Oryctolagus cuniculus: one gene and its partner. The protein of the gene in region 1 purifies or fractionates together with the protein of each later gene. This does not show direct contact. Links are inferred from orthologs where the notes say so. Each region holds a gene or a part of one and is shown in the gene's direction. Other genes may lie near its edges.

Region 1 (7,541 bases):
AAGTCAGATCTCCCTTGGAATCCAGGCTGTGCCACTTACAACTGCATTGCTGGTGATTTTTCTGCAACTGAGCAAGTTTCCACTTTCTTACTATGGAGCTTGAGCTGCTTTTATGTGGAGGGTGGCTGTTAGGAGGGTCAAATGCTGTAACACATCAGTGAGCGTGGTATTGAGCTTGGAATGACCCAGGCAATCAGTCAATAGAGATGACAGTACTGCTTTGAGGATACCGCTTTGCTTTCAGCATTTTTGAGAATTTGCTTTAGAATTGACTTTAGATGTCTTCATAAGTAGTCAACAATCCATTTTTTTTGTCTAGATGGTATTACTGAGCTGAACAACCTTTATTTTGGCCTAAAATAATATTGTATATTTCTCTCAAGTTAAATCCACCTTCATAAGAGGAGTTGTTTGCTACTGCTCATGAGAATAAGAGCACGTACTATAAGATTGTTAGACAATCACAGAATAGAAATTCTAAAAATGTTTGGAGCAGTGGCAGTGCTAATGACAGAGCTGCATTGTTTACAAAATAGAGAATACTTTTGAGGATGTATGTTTTGGGAGTCTTTAAAAATGCAAACTTATTTTTGCTTTGATGTCTTGAGGCTTTGTCAGTTGTTGCTGTGGTCATTTCTGTGGCTCCAGGTCCAACTGCCCCTTGGGTTCAGCAGAGCAGGATCCGTGACTGACAAGCCAGTTTGTCAAGAGGATTTTCAGTTCACCTTTAAAGACAAAGAATTTTAACCTGATATCTATATTCATCAGAATGATCTGCCTAGGATATCATTGAACTTTGGATAAATAAACCCTGGGTGCTATGAAAATAATGCCCTTGAAATTGGTTCCTTTTCTTCTATTCTCTGATTTTCACATTTGGCCAAAGTGTTCTCAAAATTGCTTGGTACTTACCTCTGGTGAATTGACAGGTGTCCATGGATGTCCTTCGATTGTAAGATCTGGCTTCTTAGGGAGGTGCGGAAGCACTGGAGACTTTAGTCCTTCAGTAAGAGTTTACGAACACCTCATCTGTTCAGAGAATGGAAATTTTTTTACACATTGGGGGTACACAGCTGTATAACAGCCATGGAAAGTTCACGTCAGTCTGAACTTTCCAGATGAGGCACCAGATTCCAAGTCTGTTTTCCATTTAGATTGCCCTTGTCTTTACTACCATTCCTGTTGCAACTGGGAAGCACCAGTGCTCCCTCCATCCTGCCCCTGGACCTGTCTGTGCCTGGGTGAGCTTGTGCTCCCCAAGGGTGTAAGCCCACTGGAGGTATTAACCTAAACAGCCACTGAGGTCATTGTGGCTGTTATGAGCAGGGTGTGGGGAGAGGGCACATCTCCCAAACACCTGGCAGATGTCTGTTTCCATTTTCCTGATCAAAGGAGTACTGAATTCAGTGTAAGAAAGAAGATTCATCAATTTCCTCCCCCTGGAGAACTAATTGTCTCCCTGAGCTATAATTAGCTTTTCTACCTAAAAGTGAAAGCATTGAACCAAAAAATTTACTATTCTTTCCAAACCAAAAGCTGTCTTAAAGTTGGCTGATTTTTCAAACAACACAACTACTAGATCCCGTGATCTTTCCAACTCTAGGGTTCTGTGTGTCTGTACCAGCCAACATCTGTAACGGTTGTCTTAAGTGGATCCACGAGGAGCATTGGAATGAAGTTTACTGAATCATGTCGTGAATCACCCTAACTCTTTGGGCAACATCTATGGCCAAATGTTAAAATTTTAAATAATGTCTTAAATTCAGAATGACTTAGAATTTCTTATTCTTAACTAAACTAGTCAAATGAGCACATTTCAGCTAGAAATGACAGCAGGCAGCTGAGTTTCCATACCCTTGGAATTTTTTCTTCTGTTTTATTATTATTTGACACATTTGATTGAATTTGCTTCGGACACTTTCACTTCATTAAACATGTATTTTTAAAATTATTTGCTATGTAAGATTGGCTTAAAGGCTAAACGAGAAAATAAGAATGACCTGGGCTATGACATTAACCTTCTTCACCCTCTGAAGCTGATGCCAGAAGCTGTTTGCAAGTACTCTTCCATGCCATTGCATGCCCTGTCCATTCCTCCCCTCCTGGCATGCTCTGCAAATGCTCACTCTTACTAATGTTTGCATGCCACGTGGCGAGGCTGAGTGACCTTCCTCTCACATCACTAGGGTAGCTGTTTCAATATAGGTCTGCTCTGCCATTACAGGACCAGTTATCTATATATTACCATTTTGATCATGGATGGGATTTCAGATGAACAGTACAGTCTCATAATGAAGTTTTTCGTTTTTCCCCATATTGATAGCAGGACTCATAAAACTAAGCTTTTCTGTGCTAGAGAAAATTGAAAATTATAGTGAAGATTTAAAATTCATGAATACACAAGAAATATAAAACACTTTTCTTTTATAAAGATTTTTAAAATATATTTTAGTCCTGGCATGTCATCTTCTGTACTTTTGTGTAATAGAAGAATCTCAGACTCTTCACTGATTGAAAGATTGAGAAACATTGTGAATAGACTATTTTATATTTCAGATAAGAACACTTAAAATAAGGTTTCCCAGGAAGTTTTACCATCATTATGTATTTCCATATAAAGCAGTTGAAAATACATTTAAACTGTTCTCTGCAAAAAACCCAGAATTGTGAATAAAGAAAGATGTAAATAAAACCCAAAAGAAGAGCAAACTTTTATATATAAATGTTGGTATTCATAAGAGAATACCAATAACCAAAAACCTTGTACAAGATCAAAAGTCTGAAAGAATGATTGAGTGTGTGTGTGTGAGTGCTGTGTGTGTGTGTGAGTGTGAGTGTGAGAGAGAGAGAGAGAGAGAGAGAGAGAAGGGGGAGAGAGAGGGGGAGAGCATGAGAGCACGTGCCATACTCCTCAGATCCACAGGACCATCGTGCGATGCCTTCCTATTGCCTGTTTGCTTTGCAGTCAAGGTTTCATACCTTGGTGTTTATAATTTCTCTGTTCATCCATTTCTAACAAGTACTGATTTAATTTTTGTGGGCCTGTTTTTTTTGTTTGTTTGTTTTTAAGAAAATACAAAAGGTAAAATGTACCAGAGAGGAGCCTTCTTGTAAGTATGAAGTAAAAGTATTACTTTTGTAAGAAGAGCTAATGAATATCAGTGGGAAAATATCATGCAGTTTAGATTAAATATTGAAATGTTTGGGCATTTTAATTTTGTATGTCTCTACAATACTAAGAGGTTAATAATAATTTATTTGTGAACCCAGATAATTGATTATGGAGATATGATATCTAGCTTTTAATAAGCAGTAAAGTTGAACTTGTATAAATGGTTTTATTTTGTTTTTCATAAAGAATTTTAAAACTCCTGAGAAATTAAGTTGATAAGTACCTTTTAATATTTATTAAGATTATTTAAGGTCAATAATTTAGGATTCATTCATAAGCACTGGATATTCACACATGATAATGCCCAGAATATTGTCCTAATACCACTGTGCAGGAGATATAAACTATCCATAATGTGGGCCTTTCTAAAGGGAATGTTAGCATTTAGATGTGGAAAGGGTGACCAAAAGAATGAATATTTATACATATGCATAACAAAATTACGGAGAGGTGCTGAGGCTCCAATCAGGGCTGGGGAACTTATTTTCTGCCAGGGGCCATTTGGTTATTTAGAACATTGTTCCAGGGCAGCACACAATGATCAACTGAAAAATCAGCCTGCTATTGAATTTCGAGTCCCACCTGTGGTTCCCTTGGCAGGACCAGACCAAATGATTTCATGGGCCATATATGGCCTGTGGACCAGACATCCCCCACCCCTGCTTGGAATAAAGTAAAATGACTTCTTAAACGTTCATTGTATTTCAGCCTAAAATACACAAAATCCAATATATCACATTAAATAAACATTTTTACTTTACTGTTTTTACAGCCTTTTGATCAAGGAAGAATTCAGAAAATTTTCCATGCTATATACAGCCGACTTCACACACTTACCAGATTCCCTTCTAAAGCTGCTAAATACTGATGAGAAATCTCTAACTATGATAACTCTTACGATCTTTGTTGAAACTGTATGGTAGAGTGTCCTGTTTTGTTGACTGATTAAAAGTTTGTTAGTCATGTTGTAAAGATGGCCAGGTGATTTTACAGTCTTCAAAATTGGGTATGGACTATGTGTACCAGTGTATTCTGAATCTACTTATTAAGTGTCGTATTTCTACTAGTTCTTGATACCAGAGAATGGTTGGCCCCGTTATTATTAGTCCCAAATAAGGGAATTCAAGGGATGTAAACAGATTTTTTGACAGTGATTGGACTATATTCATTTATGTGAGATTATTAAGTACTTTAAGGGCCATCACTGAAAAAGGAGAATCTCTATTGCTTACAACTATTTCTGTCTTTTACCTGAAAATGCCAGTTTGCTTTTGCAAATCTATATTGACATTGAGGAAACTTTTACATAATGAAAAGGCTCAAATTGTTTTGAGATCTTGAAGGGGAATTAGACCTTTAAAATGAGACAGCCATCTCAGTTTCCTAAAACCAGTCACCACTTTAACACTGACCTGTACAAAACCGATGACTAAAATAACCTGTCACTGTGTATGCATTAATTTAATTAGCAATGGATGTAAGCTCTGGAATAACAGGACAAATTCATCCTAAGTACATATTAACAGATTGAACCTTCTAGAAAACACATAATCCTCTAGGGATACGTGTCCATCTGTGTGTGGGTATATGTGTGTGTGCGTGTGCAATTCAGAAAGGAACAGGTAATAGCTGTCTCTTGTCCTTGCTCCTACTCTCTAACGAGAGTCACTTTAACCTACAGGCTGGTCACCCTCCCTAACCCCTTTGCTAATGAGTGGTGGTCCTGCCCCCCTGGCTGGCAGGCCCACCCTTCTTCAGCAAGCTGCTGCCCAGGGAAATGTCACTTTATTATCAATGCTGCTTAATGAAGAAGGACTGGACACTAATTACTCCTGTGAAGATGGCCATTCTGCCTTGTATTCTGCTGCTACGAATGGACATGCAGGTAAAACCAGCAGGCTCTCGCCTCTTCATCTCTATACGCAGAAGGATGGGCAGGCAAAGCCCTCGCTACCATTGTCAGGAACTAACATAAATTTGGATTTCAGTATTATCTTAGTTGTGGAGAAATTCTTTTTTAAGGTATTTATTTATTTGAAAGTCAGAGTGATGGGGGACTGTGGGTGGGAAAAGTTTGAGAGAGAAAGATTTTCCATCTTCTAGCTTGCTCTCCAAAAGGCTGCAACAACTTGAGCTAGGGCAGGACAAAGCCAGGAGTCAGAAGCTCCTTTTGGGTGCCCAAATGGGTGGCAGCAGCACAAGTACATGGGCCATCTTTGCCTGCTGTCCCAGGTGCAGCAGCAGGGAGCTAATTCAGATGTGAAGGTGCCAGCATTGCAAACCACAGTTTAATCCACTGCACCAAAATACCAGCCCTCATAGTGGAGAATTTATTCATGACAGTCAAAGTTTTTCTAAACATTAGAAAATTCCAATTGTATACTTCCTTACAGTAACATCTTATTGCAGCTAGCAAAACATAATAATTATTTTATGCACAATGAAATGTATTGTGCACGTAGAAACTTAAAGCCTAGCAACTGCAAAATACATTTTTGAATGAAGCCCTCCATCTGCAATCACTCGGGTTGGACAAAATAGCCCTCATTTGTCTAATAGAAATACCTGATGGGGGAAAAGTCAAAGCATCAGTGCTTAGCACATTCTCCTGTGAGGGGAGATTTTAGTCCTTAGAGAACGTCGTTGGTCTGAAATTCTATAGTTGGAACAATTTGGATTTTTTAAGAGAACCAAGAAGTTATGCATCTATAAATGATATATTCAGGAAGACTAGGAATTATTCATTAAAATGCAAATCCTAAAGTTCCATGCACTGGAACATATGGTAGTAAAGAAAAATAGGTTTTCGTCTGCAAAGTCAGATAGCACTGCATATGTGAGCCATGTGATTGTTGATTAATTCAGATAGAAAGAAGATTCTAGTGAGCTTAGTGAATTCATTATTTTTAAAGTTTTTTTAAACTGTTCCTGCCAAAGCACTGCAGGATGCAGAAATTAAATCCAGTAATTAGCACAAGCAATGTTGTTTCTAGGTGATATTTTTGCCTGACTTCAATGATTTTCTATGGGCTTTCCTTTAGCTTCGTTTATGGAGGTATATACAGGAAGGGAAACATAAAAAAAGCATTGAATGATGAAGCTAGACGTTCTGAAGTAATACTTTAACTATGTAATTACAAAGAATGGTATTTCAATTTGGTAAATGGGCTTGTTTCTCTGTCCAAAAACATTTTCTGGGTAGGCTGATGGAAAAAATCTGGTAAAGCATTTTCTGGCACATGACATTCCTTTTTCTCATCAGCAACTCCTCCCAAAGCACTGAGAAAAGTCATGTCTGAGTTGGTGAGTCTGGGCTGTTAGTCTTTGGGAGTGGAAGCTACCCGCCCTGTGTAATAGTCTGTGGCATCTCCCAGGTGCCACGATGGGATGGTCAGATGAACTGAGCAGGGGAGAGGCCCTCTGGGTTTAGAACCTATGTGCAGCTTGCGTACAACTTGGTCCATTCTAACTCTGAATGGGAAAATGAAATGACTTTGCATTGAAAATCCATAGACTGTGTGAGATTGCTGCTGAATGCAGAAGCCCAAGTCAATGCTGCTGAGAAGAACGGCTTCACACCCTTGTGTGCCGCAGCTGCTCAGGGACATTTCGAGTAAGTGGTGTTCCTCATTGTGTGTGTGTGTGTGTGTTTTGTATTTTATGTACATTTTTAGTTCCAGCTAAAGATGTAAACTAGAGCATCAAATCCATGGAGAAGTTCACAAAACATGTTTTGAGGATTGAAACACAAAATTGGATCCTAAATTTGTTTTTCTTAATAGTGAAGTAGTTATATATGAGGGAAGTGGAGAAGAGAAATGAGCTGCATCCACCAGCCCACGAGAGAACTTACTTCTGATTAAGATGACCTGGAGCCTCTCAGCACACGGATCAGGAGATCAGAGCCTGTTGAGAACTTTCCTGTTCCCTCTTCTCCACCACTCTAATCCAGAAAAAAAAAAAAAGGCTTTCTACTGATGTTGGCATTAAAAGTAACACATACAATTATCTGTAATAATCTTAACTTTCTAGTGGCAATTTACTCCCATTTATTCCTCTTGCTTTTTTTTAATAGTTGAAGGAGGAATTTTATCTGCTAAAAGTAGTTCCAGCATAAAGACAAAGAGAGCCTGCTAATTAAAATACACATAACTCTCTCTTGAGTAGCTTACTAAATCGGTTAGATACAGGCACAACTTTTAAAAATTGAAAGTCATATTTTTCTAATTAAGTATAGTCTAGCTGTGTTACATCCTTTCCCTGAGCTGAAATCGCAGGTTGAGGGGAATGCAAGCTGTTTTCAGTTTTTTAATCCAACTTGCTGATAGAAATGTTCTTAATAAGTTGCAAAATTCTCGAAATTTTTTTC
Region 2 (7,541 bases), on another chromosome or scaffold:
TGGATTCCGTACAGGGTTAAGAATATTGGATTTTGTTTATGCTATGTGCTGTAGGAACCACAACCAATGGAAAAAGGAAGACTTTTCTTTCTGTCTCTCTCTCATTGTCTAACTCTGCCTGTCAAAAAAAAAAAAAAAAGATATTTGAACAAAGGTTTGTACAATTAGTTCAGAAAGATTGCAAAGTCACATTTTGTGCTACCTAGTAGATCCTTGGCTTCAAATGATTTAAAATTTTTAAATTCTTCTGTTTATTCCAAAATGATCCTCAGGACGTTATGACTTTCAAATTTTGATAAGGGGCACTAATTTGAGTTGCCTGTGTTGTGCTTGAAAGACTTAGGTCGTGAATGATTTTGGGGAAAAGCATCATAAAATTTAAGACTTTCCAGGAGTTGTAGGAAGAAGGTCCTAAGTTAGTTATGGAGTCATTCTTCCAGCAAAACTTGCTGAGTATCTGCCATTCTTGAAATGAAATATGTTATTGATTCTTGGTGAACAAAACGGAAATCCCTGTCTTGTCCTCTTGGAGCTACAAATTAGTGATAAACTGTTTACTCTGTATGAGACATTGTTCTACATGGTTTGCATATAGTAACCCATTTGCTCTTTTTTTTTTTTTTTTTTTTTTTTGACAGGCAGATTGGATAGTGAGAAAGAGACAGAGAGAAAGGTCTTCCTTTGGCCGTTGGTTCACCCTCCAATGGCCTCCACGGCTGGCACGCTGCGCTGATCCAATGGCAGGAGCCAGGTGCTTCTCCTGGTCTCCCATGGGGTGCAGGGCCCAAGCACTTGGGCCATCCTCCACTGCACTCCCGGGCCACAGCAGAGAGCTGGCCTGGAAGAGGGGCAACCGGGACAGAATCTGGCGCCCCGACCGGGACTAGAACCCGGTGTGCCAGCGCCGCAAGGTGGAGGATTAGCCTAGTGAGCCGCAGCGCCGGCCACCCATTTGCTCTTGTAATACGTACATAAGGGTTTCACACATGGCCTTAAAGGACTGAAGGAAATTACATGATTTATGCACAGTAGGACACAATTGCAGGCTTAGGATATAGGCATTGTGGCACAGTGAATCAACTACTGCTTGGGACACCCATACCCCATATGGGAGTGCCTGAGATAAGTCCTGCTTGTACTTTTGATCCAGCTTCCTGCTAATGTGCACCCTGGGAGACAGCAGATGGTGGGTCAAGTAATTGGTTCTCTACCACTCAAATGTGGGAGACCCCAATGGAATTCAGGACTCTTGCCTGGCATAGCTCTGACTGTTGTGAGCATTTGGGGTGTAAACTAGCTGATGAAAAGTAGTTCTCTAGTGCACGCATATGCCTTCTCCCTCCCTCTCTCCCCCACTCCCAAGTGAATGAAAATTTTTTGAAAGTTGCAAGTGAGGATTCAGAGTCATGAGATTTGCTTCCATAGTTTACATGCATCTTTATTTCCTCTCCATTTCATAGAGACCCACAATATGGATTAGCCAATTAAAAGGGCTTCAAGTGCTGGGGAGGAGAGAAAAGGTGACTATGTGTGTTTTCTCTTTTCTTCCTCAAGTATAAGAGGAAAAAAGAAGGTGGCAGAGTCATGAAAGTTACTATAAAGAAGTTGTAGGTATTTGTTGATGAAGAAGGGGTCAGGAGCTTTGTGACATAAGTGGTCCCAGTGGAGCCTACCATCCAACTTGGTGTGCAGTATTGCATGAGTATGTCTTCATAAATGGTCCATTTGATGGGATAATACGTTTCGAAGAGATCTTTCAGATTTTTTAGTGACTTTGTGACTCTGTGGACAAGGGTAGACACTGGGTTGACTTAATGTGAGCATTTATTTAGTGAACAGGCAGGAGTGCTAGAGTTAAACTTGGAAAACTGCATCACTGTTGAAGAGAAGAGTACATTGAGTGTTAGACGACAGGTTTGGTTTAAGACATGTTACATTTAGGAGACACTGGATTGTTCTCAAGAGAAAAGTCAAAACTGGGTGAATGAGAGTTACCATCAGAAGCGGGTGTTAACACTCAGCAGTGGATGCCTTATTGGGTCCCAGCTCAGCACACACCAGGGGAGGCAGCAGGAGAAGGTTCAGAATGTGGGTCCGCACCACCCATATGGGAAATCCAGGTTGAGTTCCAGGCTCCCAACTTCAACCTGGTTCAGCTCCAGATGTTGTGGGCCTTTGAGGAGTGAATTAGCAGATGGGAGCACTCTGTTTCCTTTATATTTCTGTCTGCCTTTCAGATAAAACATTAAGCTGATGCCATCATATATGTTATCTTTTGTCATATTTGACCATTCGGGGGAAAGCTAAGGGTGCTTGATATGAAACCCTTAGTAATTGAAATTACTGTCCTGGTGGTCAGTAATTTCATACTCTGGGTTCTTTTATAGGAATATTGAAAATGGATTTCAGAACTCATAGAAGGATCATGTTTTCCTCAGCAGTCTAAAGAAAGTATATTAAGTGAATTTTCCTCAGGCTACCAGAAAAGTTCTAAAACTATCCTATTAATTTTAGTGTTAATAAGAAATAGCCACCTGTGGTTTGAAATAATGAGGTTTTGTTTTTAAGGATTTATATATTTGGGGTAGGTGGTGTGGTACAATAGGTTGTTGAGCCACCGGCTGGGGCTCCTACACCCCATCTTGGAGGGCTAGTTTGAGTCCTAGCTACTCCACTTCTGATAAACCTTCTTGCTAATTCACCTAAGGAAGGCAATGGATAATGCCTTGGAGGCTTGGGTCCCTGCCACCCACGTGGGAGAGTTATAACGAAGTTTCTGATTTTGGCCTGGCCCCACCCTTACTGTTTGAAGCATTGGGGGAGTGAATCAGCAGGTGGAAAATCTCTCTGTGTGTCTCCCCCCCACTCCTCTGTTACTCTGCCTTGTAAATAAATAAATCAATCTTTAAAATATTTATATCTTGGGGCCAGTGCTGTGGTGTAGTGGGCTTTCTCTCCCTGTGGTGCTGGTTTGAGTCCCAGCTGCTCCACTTTCGATCCAGCTCTCTGCTATGGCCTGAGAAAGCAGCAGAAGATGGCCCAAGTGCTTAGGCCCCTGCATGCACGTGGAAGCTCTTGACACCTGGCTTTGGATTGGCCCAGCTCCGGTTGTTGCAGCCATTTGGGGAGTGAACCAATGGACAGAAGATCTTTCTCTCTCTCTCTCTCTCTCTCTCTCTCTCTGTCTCCCTGTCTCCCTGTCTCCCTCCCTCCCTCCCTCCCTCCCTCCCTCCCTCCTTTTGTCTTTAACTCAACCTCTTAAATAAATAAATAAATAAAATCTTTTAAAAAAATGTATCTTCGGTGAAGATAATCATTAAATTAGTTTTCCAGATCAGTGTTGTTAATGTCTGAGGAATCCAGAGTAATATCTTTGACATACTCCTATCCCCTTCTCTTTCAGGCGATACATTTATCATTAACCCATATATAAAAAGTAACTTTTTAATTTCTTATTGAGAAAGATTGTTTTTATTTTGACTTTGGTTTATATGGTTTATATGATCTTGAGCCTTTGACGCAACCCAGTTGTCATGTTTTCCAGTGTCTTTCATACACTGCCAAATTTTGTTACACAAATGAGTATAAGAAGCCAGACACGGAAAACTATCACAGGTTGTGTGAGGCCATTTATATGAAGCAACCTGAATAGCCCAGTCTATAGAGAGAGCAGAGTAGTGGTTGCCAGGGACTGGAAGGAGTGAAGAAACGGGGAGTGATTGCTTAAGGCTAGGGAGTTTGCATTTTTTGGTGATGAAAAAGTACTAAGCCAAGTAGTGGTGATGCTGATAGAATTTTGTGAATGTTCTAAAAGCCACTGAATTATATACTGTCAGATGGTTAGAATGGTAAATTTTATGTTGCATAGTTTTTCTGCAATAAAAACAGTATTGCTGTGCTGTGTTGTAGCTTCGGATTCCTAAAGTTAGTATTTCTTCTTTGTTGTATTTAGGTAAAATGATCCATTCTATGGTAGCTCATTTGGATGCTGTTACAAGTCTAGCAGTAGATCCTAATGGAATCTACTTGATGTCTGGAAGTAAGTTTGAATTTCTTGTACTCTACCCATAAGCTTTATAGAAGAATTGATAGTAATAAACTGCTTGTTCTTTTACAGGTCATGACTGTTCTATTAGATTGTGGAACTTAGACAGCAAGACATGTGTGCAAGAAATAACAGCTCATAGGAAGAAATTGGATGAATCAATTTATGATGTTGCTTTCCATCCATCAAAAGCATATATTGCCAGTGCAGGAGCTGATGCCCTTGCCAAAGTTTTTGTGTGAATCAGCAAAAACTCACATCATAGCAAAAGATTTGCTTGGACAGAAAGAGGGTCTGCATCACTGCCATCAGAAAAGGTTACTGATATGACACTACACGTGATCGGCCTGGGGAAGGCTGTTCGGGGCAGGTCGAAGTTGATGGAAATCACATCTTAATGTCAGGCTCATTAATTTAACTGTAATTAGTGTATTTCATGGGACAAAAGGAAAAAAGGACTCCAGTATTTGTGGCCTGTACTGGATACGAACTGAGCATATGTTCTGTTTTTTGTGTTTTGTGTTTTTTTTTTTTTTTTTTTTAAAGGTGTCTATAAGCCAATGTGGAGTCTGATCTTACAAAAAGACTCTTTTTTTGGACTCTGTGTGCTGCCTTAGGGTTAGGAATGTGGTGCTCTTGTTGGGGGAAGTGAGCTCCAAGAGTAGCTGTTTTTCATCTCTTAGTGATCTTCTGTTTATCAGTTGAATGCCACAGATTCCCTTTTAAACTTATTTTGCTTTAAAAAAAAAAGAAAAGAAAATTTAACTTAAAATATTTTAGCATTAGTTGCACAAAATGTTTGGATAAAATTCTAGTTTTTATAAGTCTTTTTATATATTTAGCCTGTCACAACAGTGCTCAAGATTGTATTGAAGTTTGTCTGCATTATACGCCCCTAAAGCAGATCTCACTGACCCGCTGCCCTGTAACCACTTAACTTTCCTCCTTCTGCCTAATACAGCTCAGCTAAGTCCTTCCAGAAAGATGCTAAATCACCTTCATCGTCATATAAATGTCTTCATAAACCAAGGACTATTAAGTATATTAAAATGAAACAATGGGGTTTAGTACTCCAAAGGAACTCTTTAAAAAGAAAAACTAATCTTGGCATCCTATCACTATGTGATATTTTGTACATCTTACTGTATTTACAAGTTTATTTATCAAGGATTATCCATCTTGCTAATGGCCTATTATTTATTTCACTTTTTGTTGGTCTTTATATCCTTTTATTAATGTGCTAAAGGAACCTGTATATCTATTTTGGAACTCTTTGAATAGTCTAAAATAGACTAAAAATGGAATATTTTATAGTTTAAGTTACAAACCAGGGTGGTTCTCCCCAAGATATGTATCTTGGTTCACCATGATTCCAAACAAAACTATCTTGTTTGAAAATATTTGGAGTAAAATTTTATTTGCATTACGAATAGGACACAAAATAATTGAATCAGGATACAGAAATCTGTGTTTGGACTAGTTTTCCCTGTTTTATTTTTTTAGGTGTGCTTAATTTTATGGTGTAACTAAAGATTTTGTTTGTGTGATGCATGATTAAGACAATAAAGTATTTTTTCTAGTCTTCCAAAAAACTTTTCTGATCAGTTTGCAAGTTTTGATGAGTTTTGTAAGGTTTCTGTTTTACAAACTATGAATCATCCAGTTTTTAAGATTGTACCACATAGCAAACATACAGCTGTTGAAAAATAATGTATATAAAATGCATATAATAAATATTAAATTGTGTACCTGTATGTTACTGTTGGCTACATCATTTTGTGTTGAATAATAAAGTGCAATACTTTACTCTCCATAATTAAACTAGGAAATGGAGATGATTTCTTAGTGAGTCCTTCATTTTTATACTGTTCTTTTATACTTTTTACTGTGTATTGATATTCTAGTAATATTAGAACAGTAATATTAAAAATGCCTTTCTGAGTATTTTACTCCATTTTGGGGATTTTAAAAAAAATATGCTATTAAAATAAGCTAGGCAATTCGAAGTAAAACAGCCCCTCTCTCTCCCACAAAGTCATAGAGATACAGTTTTAAGTAATTTTCTTAGACATCTTGTTACTTTATTAAATCTGAATTTGTTAGTGGTGGTGGTGGGCCTCTGTAGGCACAACTTTCCATAGAAAAGTTCAGCAGAGAATAAACTACATTATTTGTTAAACTTATCCTTATAAATAATGCTTAGTATTACTATCTTGAAACCTTTTCCTTCTGTAAGGTAGAATCATCCTCTTTCTTTGAAGGAAATTTCATATGGGCTCAGAACACTAGAAAAATTGTGTGCAGAATTCTATTTGAATACCTGCTGCAGAAAAAAAAAAGCTACACTGTGTGTACGTTGAGAAATTTTGTCATCTATCATGAAAATCCAAGTAGCAATTTCAGTCATTGATGATGAAACATTAAAACTTCTCAAACATTTTTTTACAGGTTGTTTTCTGAATTAAACATTCAACTAATGAACAAAATAAAGAGACAGTTTTCTCATCATTTTTTAAAATTTGAAGTAATTTAAGAAACTTTTCCAAAGCTAGTGTTGTTGCTGGCAGCTGTTCCAACCCAGTGCATCACTGTATAGTGAAATGTGATTATCACTGCAATGCTTAAACTTCACCTCTCTTGGAATGTATTAGAACTGAAATGGATAAAAATTAGTATATATGTTTATTTTTCTCTTACCCACTTTGGTTGTATTTTTCTCTACAATATTAAACTTTTGGAAGAGACTAAAGGAATACAAAAAGAATGTATTTATTTTCATATTATTTGTATGCTTCCATTTGTGATTTATGGTAAATTATGTAGATTAATTTGACTATTAAATATACTTTATGCATAAGGCTTAAGGTTATTTTTATATACAAATTTAATGTGTTGACTTGTTCTCAGTATGTAATTATATTCTTCTCTTTCATGTTTTATTCATGTTATTTTTCTATTAAGTAATCCACTGAAGACCAACATCTCACTTAATGTATTAAAAGTCATGAATTAGGGAGTATTTTACTCCGTTAGCCCAGCAGTTTAGACATCTGCATCCCACATTGGAGTACCTGGGTTTGATTCCTGGCTCCAGCTTCCTACTAATACACACCCTGGGAAGCAGTGAAAATAACCCAAGTAATTGGGTTCTTACACCCATAGGTGACCTGGATTTTGTTCTGACTCCCTTCTTCAGGACACGAGGAGTAAAACCAGCAAGTGAGAGCTCGCTTGCTTGCTCACTACCCCCCTTAAATAAAATTTAAGTTACAAATGAGCTAGCATATTTGCAATTTAGGTGTGTCAAAACTATTTCGTAAAATGTCTTTTTAAATCCTTTTACCTTTTTAAATTTTTTTAAAGATTTATTTATTTACTTGAGAGGCAGAATTACAGCAAGAGGGAGAAAGTCATCCACTGGTTGAATTCACAAATGGCTTCAATGGTGGGAGCTGAGCCAGTCAGAAACCAGGAGCCAAGAGCTTCCTCCTGGTCT

What was found.
Region 2: the proteins of CTTNBP2 (region 1) and STRN3 purify together in Homo sapiens (affinity purification with mass spectrometry; 4 studies listed by BioGRID and IntAct, with this or other methods). This does not show direct contact. The link is inferred for Oryctolagus cuniculus from reciprocal best matches to the Homo sapiens genes CTTNBP2 and STRN3.

What each region holds. Positions count from the first base shown.
Region 1 is NC_091434.1:153,384,997-153,392,537, reverse strand, and holds part of CTTNBP2 (cortactin-binding protein 2), read left to right. Parts: exon of another isoform or gene 1-4,091; intron 4,092-4,853; coding exon 4,854-5,057; intron 5,058-6,685; coding exon 6,686-6,785; intron 6,786-7,541. UniProt on the Homo sapiens protein: Regulates the dendritic spine distribution of CTTN/cortactin in hippocampal neurons, and thus controls dendritic spinogenesis and dendritic spine maintenance.
Region 2 is NC_091443.1:44,437,761-44,445,301, forward strand, and holds the end of STRN3 (striatin-3), read left to right. Parts: intron 1-3,952; coding exon 3,953-4,039; intron 4,040-4,117; coding exon 4,118-4,287; 3' UTR 4,288-5,883; downstream 5,884-7,541. UniProt on the Homo sapiens protein: Calmodulin-binding scaffolding protein which is the center of the striatin-interacting phosphatase and kinase (STRIPAK) complexes.